2 linked regions of the Arabidopsis thaliana genome follow. The protein of the gene in region 2 purifies or fractionates together with the protein of the main gene of each other region. This does not show direct contact. Each region holds a gene or a part of one and is shown on either strand. Other genes may lie near its edges.

The links.
Region 1: the proteins of AT4G03930 (region 2) and AT4G28440 fractionate together in Arabidopsis thaliana (co-fractionation; one large-scale study listed by BioGRID). This does not show direct contact.

The regions. Positions count from the first base shown.
Region 1 is NC_003075.7:14,058,069-14,062,076, reverse strand, and holds AT4G28440 (Nucleic acid-binding, OB-fold-like protein), read right to left. Parts: upstream 2,182-4,008; 5' UTR 2,024-2,181; coding exon 1,756-2,023; intron 1,301-1,755; coding exon 1,107-1,300; 3' UTR 691-1,106; downstream 1-690. Other genes in the region: AT4G28450 (WD repeat and SOF domain-containing protein 1), read left to right, coding at 1-84, 191-353; AT4G28430 (Reticulon family protein), read right to left, coding at 2,305-2,633, 2,718-2,783, 2,895-2,964, 3,068-3,209, 3,293-3,367, 3,460-3,613, 3,694-4,008.
Region 2 is NC_003075.7:1,868,445-1,873,166, reverse strand, and holds AT4G03930 (Plant invertase/pectin methylesterase inhibitor superfamily), read right to left. Parts: upstream 2,746-4,722; coding exon 2,122-2,745; intron 1,838-2,121; coding exon 1,573-1,837; intron 1,466-1,572; coding exon 780-1,465; downstream 1-779. UniProt on the Arabidopsis thaliana protein: Acts in the modification of cell walls via demethylesterification of cell wall pectin.

The sequences.
Region 1 (4,008 bases), about 12 Mb from region 2:
TCCAAGGGAACAAAAGAAGCATGAGTACAACGAGGCTGTGAAGAACCGGTACAAGCATCTTTCTGAGGTTAAGCGCATTGTGAGGTAAATGACCAATGAAAACTGTGGTTTTATCCCATGCTTTAACTCTGGAGATTGTCAAAAGATAACTATAGTAACATGGTAACGTTTTGGTTATTGTGAATTACAGACACAGGCACTTGCCAAAACCAATATACAAAGCGATGGGTATCATTCGAACTGTGAACGATTCGAAGAGAAGAAAAGAAGCACGAAGGAAAGCTCACAGTGCTCCAGGAACAGTGGTCACAGCACCTCTGCGCAAAAGAAAGATCATCAAAGAAGTGGAGTGACTCTACTCTTTCTCCGTTTGTTCCTTTCAAGGATGATGATACGTGGAGAGGATTGTATTGGTATAGTGAGGGTAAGATTAGGAACATGAACATTTTTGCTGTGTTGTAAGCCTTTCTTTATGCCATTAAGTTATTACCCATTTCGTTTTCTTTTTTCTCTTCACTACGTATTGTGTTCATTAACTATTCGTTTTTGGTGTTACAAAGCTGATCTTCAAAGTAACATTCTGATTTCAAAGATTTATAAAGTTTGGAATTAGACCGACTTAACTAGACAATGGTTCTATGATCCGTCGATGAATTTTATGCACTTACAATTTGTCTTAACAATGACATTAATCAAGGATGAGATGCTTTCGATGTAAAAAGTTGGGCAAAACTCTCTGTAACCGAGAGGGTACAATAGTGTACATCAAATAGTAATTAATGAAAAAACAAAGACATTAGTAAAGTTTAAGAAAGAAAAACTTATTTTTACTGTATTAGATAGTGCACAAGCAAGCTCTCAATGGTCTTTAACTTACATCAACACAAATTAAAAGGAACAATTGCATTACGCCATTACCGCAGGCTCAATAGTTCTCCAGAGCAAGATCATGACCGCATATTTTAGGGTAAAAAAGAAGAAGCATATTCCTACAAGCAACTCTGGACCAGTCATACAATCTTCATCATCTAAATCAAAGACCTTCACGGTAGAAAAATCAGAACCCAACACTCTCAGGGGTTAACCTCCATAAACATACTAAAAGATCACTGATCACCACCAACATTGATCAGTTCATACTCAACGAGAGACAGATTGTTATCCTCCTTGACAGTGAAAGACGCGGCTCCAGTGGCTTCGATGCGTCCCCATTTATCAACTCCTAGCCTCATTGTACCCTTGAACATGTCTATCCTTGAATTGCGCAGTATCACCGTAGCACCCGGCTTCATAAGATCAACTATACACACACACACACACACAAAAAAAACCAATAACATCATTAGAGCTAATCAGTAGCCACATCAATTGCACGAAAACTGGTATAACAAAACTTCACATTATGAAAAGCTATGAAAGTTTTGGGATAATGTAGACCATTCAATTGAACATAACTCAACATCTAACCAAGCAAGTTTCATCATCACTATAGGTAAGACTATACAGAGTTACAGACCCTCAAGGCCAAGATTCTTTCAAGCTTCAATTTCACAAAGACATCACTAAATACACATACAATAACTGATACATCATTTACCAAATAGTACTAATAGAAACACATTTACCATTTGCTCAAAATAGAAATTGATTAAGACAAACGAGAGAACAACAAAGGATAAGACTTATCACTCTAATAAACTACGAAGACACCATTTCTATATCCATAAAGCAAGAGAAAAGTGGAGAAACAATAACCTTGATCGTTACGAGCAGTGAAGAGGATACACCCAGTTTCGTCACCGATGAGACACTCAACGATTCGACTAGGCTGAGAAGGACGACTCAGAGAACTCGCTGGACGAGTCTTCCGGGTAACAGGAACCACGATATTAGCCTCAATGACTTTAACAGTCAACGTGTGACCAGTCGTTCCAGGCTTTAGCTGTTCCACCTTCACAAACACCGGTTTTCTCTTCACCGTCGAAGTTCCCGTCGCAACCGCAGCAGTTCCAGTCGTCGCCATCGCTTCAAATTACAATACCCAGATTTCGCGTTCGCCCTAATTTGGTGGAATCGATAAAACTTTTGGAGAAGAGAAATGGGAATTTAGGGTTTATAAAGAAAAGACGACGATGTGCTCTCTCCCAAGACGGACGAGAGTTTTTATCACCTGCTTCTCACAGTTTCATGAGCTTGTCACGTGTCAATTTATTATTTGATATTAATGACTGCTCTTTATTTATTATTACGTAAATGTGAAATATTATTACACAGGTGGATACTGAAAAGACACTAGTGACTAGACTAATAAAGCTTCTTTGGTGCTTTGGTTTCTGCAACTAGCACCAACGCTTGCTCTTCTTCTGCTGACCGCGGTGAAGTTGACTTATCCTCCGGCGATTTTTGTTGCTCCGGGTGAGTTTTTTCTTGTTGCTTCTTCTCCTCCTCATCCTCGGAATCTAACTGTAGATTCTGTCGTCTGTATCTGATTACTACTACTATGATAAACACTGCAATAAAACGGGTCTTGAGAGAAGTTAGATTCCAGAATGCAGTAACTGCAGAGCCTGCTACGAATTTCTTGTGTGTGCAAACTCCCCAAGCTTCAACAAATCTCCTTTGTGCACACTCAACTACACATAAGCAAAGATCAAAGAATCCTTAGTGTCAATCATTGGAACCATCAAAGAGCTACGCAGTCTGTTAATAGAGTTTACCTTTTTGGTTAAGCTGACTTGCGTAACATGAATATAGCTTTGGAATAGTGAAGCTAAGGAAGAAACCTGTTTAAAGAAACAATGCATACTCTGTGTCAATTCTACTAGATACAACTAAAGAAAACAGTTTAGCTTTCTTTGGAGTAATGTTGACATATAGTGTTTCAACAATCATACCAAAAGCACATAATCTCCACAATGTTATGAGGTAACCATACTCAGCTCCCATTAGAACAAAAGGTGCCACCTGAAATCAAAGTAAAAACAGTGTAAGAAGGACAAAATCAACGTGAGAGTCACATTCATTGGAGAGAAGTTTTATGAGAATGGCAAAGTTTTGTAAATTCTACTTTGAGTGTCATTGCTGGTTCACCAGAGAAAAGCTCACTCGTCTTTGAAATTGCTAAATTGGTGATGGGAAGCATTCGTCTAGCTATTCGTAATACATCATCTTCACTCAATTTAAGCTCTCTCCGCGCTTCTTCAGTAACCCTTTATGGTAACAAATGGATCAAAACTTCAGTCAACTGCAGTTCAAGCTGATATTTATGTACTGGGACCTTAAAAGTTTGTACCTTTGGCGAAGAGTATTTGACAAGAACGATACCCCAAGAAACAAAAGTCCAAGATAGGAGATCGCTGAGAAAACACTTCAAACCACACAAAGTTTCATTATCAACTCATGAATGTGAAAAATGATTAAAGCTAGAAAGATAAACCTTGACAGAGAAATCAATGTTACCTAAAGTTAAATCCTTTAGCAGCAAAGCAAGTAGATAGGAAACATATACAGCCAAAACCAAACCAAAGTGTTGATTTCGCAACATCTCTCCACATAATCAAATCGCTTATATTCTCTCTAATCCGCTCTAAATCACCTTGACAAACATCTTGAGCTGAATTACACAAATCATTGAGCAATTATTAGAGCACGAAAGTGAAATCGAATGAGCTAATAGACAGAGGAAGGACATACGTTGATCTGAAGATGGACTAGGAGAAGCTAACAGAGGAACAGAACTGTGCTTCTCCTTCTTAGATCGACCCAACTTCTTCTGTTTCCTCTGGTTTTGTTTCTTTTCATCGGTCACGACAACAATTGGCTCCGTATTTTCCTTTGTATCTACCATCGCCTCCGACCTTAGTCTCGACCTCCGGAAATTCCTCGGCGACGGCGAGGCCAAAAGACCATTTTGCCCTCCCTTCGTCTTACTCCGTCGTGCCGTCACAGCAGCCTCCGCAGCTTCCATATCGAACCGATTGCTTAAACGGGTTCTCGATTTACGAAGAG
Region 2 (4,722 bases):
TAATCAGTAAACAGAAGAATCAAAAGTTTCAAAATCTATCTTTCATCTCTCAACACTTCATTTTCCAATATGAAAAAGAAGAAATTATCTAGATCTACAACACAACACAAGCAACAAATTCGAATTGGAAAACAAATCCAATTTCAATTTTAATAAATTTCAATTTGGATACAAATCCTAAACATGTATCTACAGAGAAGAAAGTAAAAGCCTTAGAAATATCAAATCAAATCTCAAAATCTAGGTACAAGTTTTTCGTCGAGGTTGTGCATAGAAAAAGTTTTCAGATTCTGGTGGTTGAGAAAACCCGTTGCTCTGCCATCTCCGTCGTCCTCTTCACCACCACCAGCTCCATTCTTCAATTAAATTAAGACAAAAAAAAGAAAAAAAAACGTCAAAAAGTATATTGCGGGATTCGAACTCAGACTTGGGTGAGTTAGATAAAAAATCAACCCAAAACTAACCACTAGACTAAGACAACATAATCGCAATCATATTAAAAGAGATTTGTATATATATCCGTAAATAACATGAGTTATGTTTTAACCACAGTTAGTAGTTCCGTTATCAAAACTAACAGTCGTTAACTTGGGAGCAGGAAATATCCAACATTTAAAAGACTAAGATTTTTGTAGACAATCGAAATTAACTTATGTATTTTTCTTCCAATTTTAAAAGTACAGGTATTAAACGGCCAAATTAAAAATAAACCGGGGTTTTTTTCCGCTTTTTTCCCTTTTATTTAGTACGTTATACTTGTGAAGCATGGAACAACATTATTACAATCCACTTTTATATGGAATTCGACTTTCTTTTAGCCAAGTTTCTCCATCTAAGAGCTTGGCTACAGTGAATTCTGTAGCCTGTTTAGGATCTTTCATAACTTTAAAGCCCGACCACTTCACCCTTCTGCTAGTCACAGCTCCCGGACCCCTATTTTGATATTCGCGGTAGTGGAGAGTTGACAGACCAGTTTCTCCTTCCCAAGGAGTCCAGCCTGCGGGATCAACTAAATCACCGATGAAAGACTGCAGAACCGCGACTGTTGAAAATATCCTCCAAGGCCTTCCAAGATACGTTTTTACGGTTGCTGTATCTAGATCCGAACTTGCTGTGATGTTGCAGTTTTGAATTGAGAAGCCCGATTTGTCGTCCTTAGTCTCGCGTGATTGAGCGGTTATGAAATTGCTTTGCCCCATATTAGGCTGTCTTGCTACAATCTGGCAGAATTGAAATACCGCCGCTGCGTTTCCACAAATGAAATCTACAGTACCGGTAATAAAGCACTCCCTATAAAACTGGCGGTCTATGTGAGGATACAAGGCATCCTGATATCCCTCGACACGACATCTGTAAATGACGGACATATCACCACTCACACGGAGGGCAACAGCTGGTCCTTTTGCCGGCCCGACCGTGTTTCGGAAGCACATGTCTACTCCGATGAATCCTTTACCATTAGAAGCTTCAAACATATTTTTAGTATAATTAGAATTGTCTTTAAGAATGTTATAGTTTGGTATAAAGAAGAGAAAACTATAAATTATTCAAGAATAGAACACAAACTCTTACCAAAAGTTGCAGTGTAGAACGTTCTTCTAACATTGCTAGCGCTTAAATTGCCCGTGATGATGGTTGAATCTTGACCATCACCTATAAGAGTTAAATTGGGTTTCGTATTCTCAATGGCGACGATTTCATCATAAATGCCTGTCTTTATATAGATGATGAATCTCTTGTGGCTGTGTTGAGGTGCTGCTGCAATGGCCGCATTCACTGTGTTGTACTTTCCGGTCCCATCTTTCGCGACCACAACATCGGCAATCTTTTTTAGAGCCTGCTTTATAAAAAACAGAAGAAATTCTATAAGCAGTAGAAAGAAAGAGAAAAATGATAAAAGGTTTGTTAAGAGATGCAAAAATATCGATTTACGTGACCTTAAGGTCTATATTTATAGAACTGGTGATCTCTAAGGAAAAAGAATTTATCTACAAGTAAATACAATAAAAGGTAAATATACAAATCCTAAATATTTGTTACTTGAGTATCAAGTCTATCCTTAATTTGTTTTTCACGATTATCAAATTATAACTTAAAAATATTAGGGTTCCGTTTTATTACCTCAGCATTGAGATATAGATCTTTCTTGTCAACATGAGATAACCAAGACGGGCTATTGGGAACCACCGAGTTAAGTTCGGTGTTGTCTCTCGGCGAAATGGAGATAAAAAGAGCCAAAGCTACCTTTGCCTTAGAAATGAGGTCTTGAAGCTGTGGCTCGACCCGACGTTTATAGGCACCGTCACCAATTTCGTCGATACATGTGATGTAGCTAGTAAGAACGCCACTGAGCCAAGTGTGGATGTTTTCGTAAGATCCAAGATAAGGGAATTCTCCTCCTAAGAGTTCCTCCACTGAACGGATCATCCTATCTTTTGCCGACTCCATCATCTCCTCAAATAGATTTGTGTCCTCCTTCAAACATAGCTTATCATTCTCCATCTCCTCATGTTGTTTTGTATCTTCCATCACACCAATCATAGCCATGTCGATCTTCCGCACGGAATTCTTCAAAACGATGATCAATAAGTCACGACGTCTAATCTCCGAGAGTGACGAGGAAGCTGTCTTAAGCTCCAACAAAAAGTTTTGACATGAGTGTTTGTCATCACAATATTCTTTGCTAACACCAATAACCACCATTGTTATCATAAGGATGAAAAAAGAGAAAACTTTAACCAACATTTTTGTGTTTATTTCTTCTCTCTTAATTACTGAATTTATATTATCTTAACTGATGAAAGAGGAGGGAGCGATGGTGGTCTTATATACAAAGCAAAGCAACTTAATCAATTTACATTTAATTAATTGTATTCAATAAATGACAATATTTAGGAAAAAAACTTTATTTTGAGATCAATCTAAAAATTCAGTGCAATGTGAATTGAAGCTATAATTCAGTGAAGTTTGGTTTTATTATCCACAAAGAACAGAAAAGAAAAGTGGTCCAAAATTTTCAGCTCATAAAAGATAGAAGAAGAATTGTCTTAGAGTACTTTAGTTGAAATACTTGTTTTCCACTGTACTCTAAATGGCTAAAAAAAAATGAATTTGGTAGAAATTGGTTTCATCCATTTTAGGTTATGCTAACAACAATACAATATATTCTCAACCTTAATCTCTTACGTGTGAGGATGAGACTTAGCCATTATTGTTTTAGTACTAGAAAAGACAATATACACCTAATAAATAGAAAACCCCTAGGTTTTTTTTTTGGTCGTTAGAAAAGATGTTCTTTTTTTCTTTTTGGTTGATTCTATCGGTTGTTAGGCAATTCACTCTCAACTTTCACTACGTTACAATGTTTACCCGAAAAGATATAATAAAAGCACTCTCATAACTTGTCATTCCTCCGTAAAAAAATGGTACTGTAATTTTGACAACTTTGAATGAATCTTATGCAGCTATTGTATCTGGAATCGATCTCTTCTTTGAGATTTTTAGAATTGGTAAAAGAACAAGAAAGCTTTAGATGTGCTGCGTAGAGCTGCAACTAAAGATGGTGGTCATTGCTTTGGATGCTAAATGATGTGGAGAAGAATCAATTTCCTTCGGATTGTTCTTGAAAAGGGTTTAGTAGTCTGTTTTTGCGGTATGTTTCTTACACTCTTGGCAGTGAAAGCAAAAACTTATCAGTTCTTCTATTGAGTGATTCATTGTCTTCCTTTTTTGGTCTCCAGGATGCTGATGTGATGTGGTTCATGAACTAATTTGCTTCTCAATGCTTTCAATATTTAATGCTTTCTTATGATTTCTTTGTTGAGTTGCATTTGACTGAGAACTCTCGTGAGATGCTTCACATACTTACAAAGTCTCAGTCTGCGCGCATGGAATGGTATTGTATATCAGAAGACCATTCAATATGGAGATGTTGTAGTAATTGTCGCGTAGGCTTCTTTCTTATGCTTGTGTCTTTTCTATATTGTTGTGCAATCTGCTAGTTTTCCAGTATATGGCAATTATAATATTGTATAGTTAGGTATTAGCATGAGGAATTCAGCTGACAATCGGTTGATTAAGGTATTTATCAATGGGATGGAGCCCATCACAACAAATATGATATGACTCAAAATTTGTTGTCCTTATTGTCTCTCTCTTCTTTCTGGAATATTTTTGTATGCCTATGTTGATTTTTAAATCTCCCATAATACTCATTTTGTTGCAGGTGAAAAAGTTTTAGCAAGCACAAAGTTGCAGCTCTTCAATGGAGATTATTAATTTAGAAATGCCAAAAGATAGATTTGCTAGATATATGTATAATTGTTCAGTTATATTCATTGTAAAACAGATTTCTTTTTGGGCGGCAATTGATTTTATATATAATATAGTGATCTTTTCTGAATTTTTGGTTAGTTTGAATTTTTATTGTATTGAGAAATACAGAAATAATAGAAAACGGAAAAAAATAGAAAATAAATACACTGAATATTCCGAAAATTTACGACCGATGAATGCTCTACTTATAGTAAAATTATATCACATGCTGATACACTGTGCTGACATGCCATGCAGAATGCAATAAGCAAGGATCCCCTATATGACCAACGTGTAAAATTTAATATGAAACTATTATTTTTGGTAACTACTGTTCCTGATAAATAATGTAATCAACTTAAACAAAATTCATATTATTCATGAAAATATTCTCAAAGTTTTAGTCAT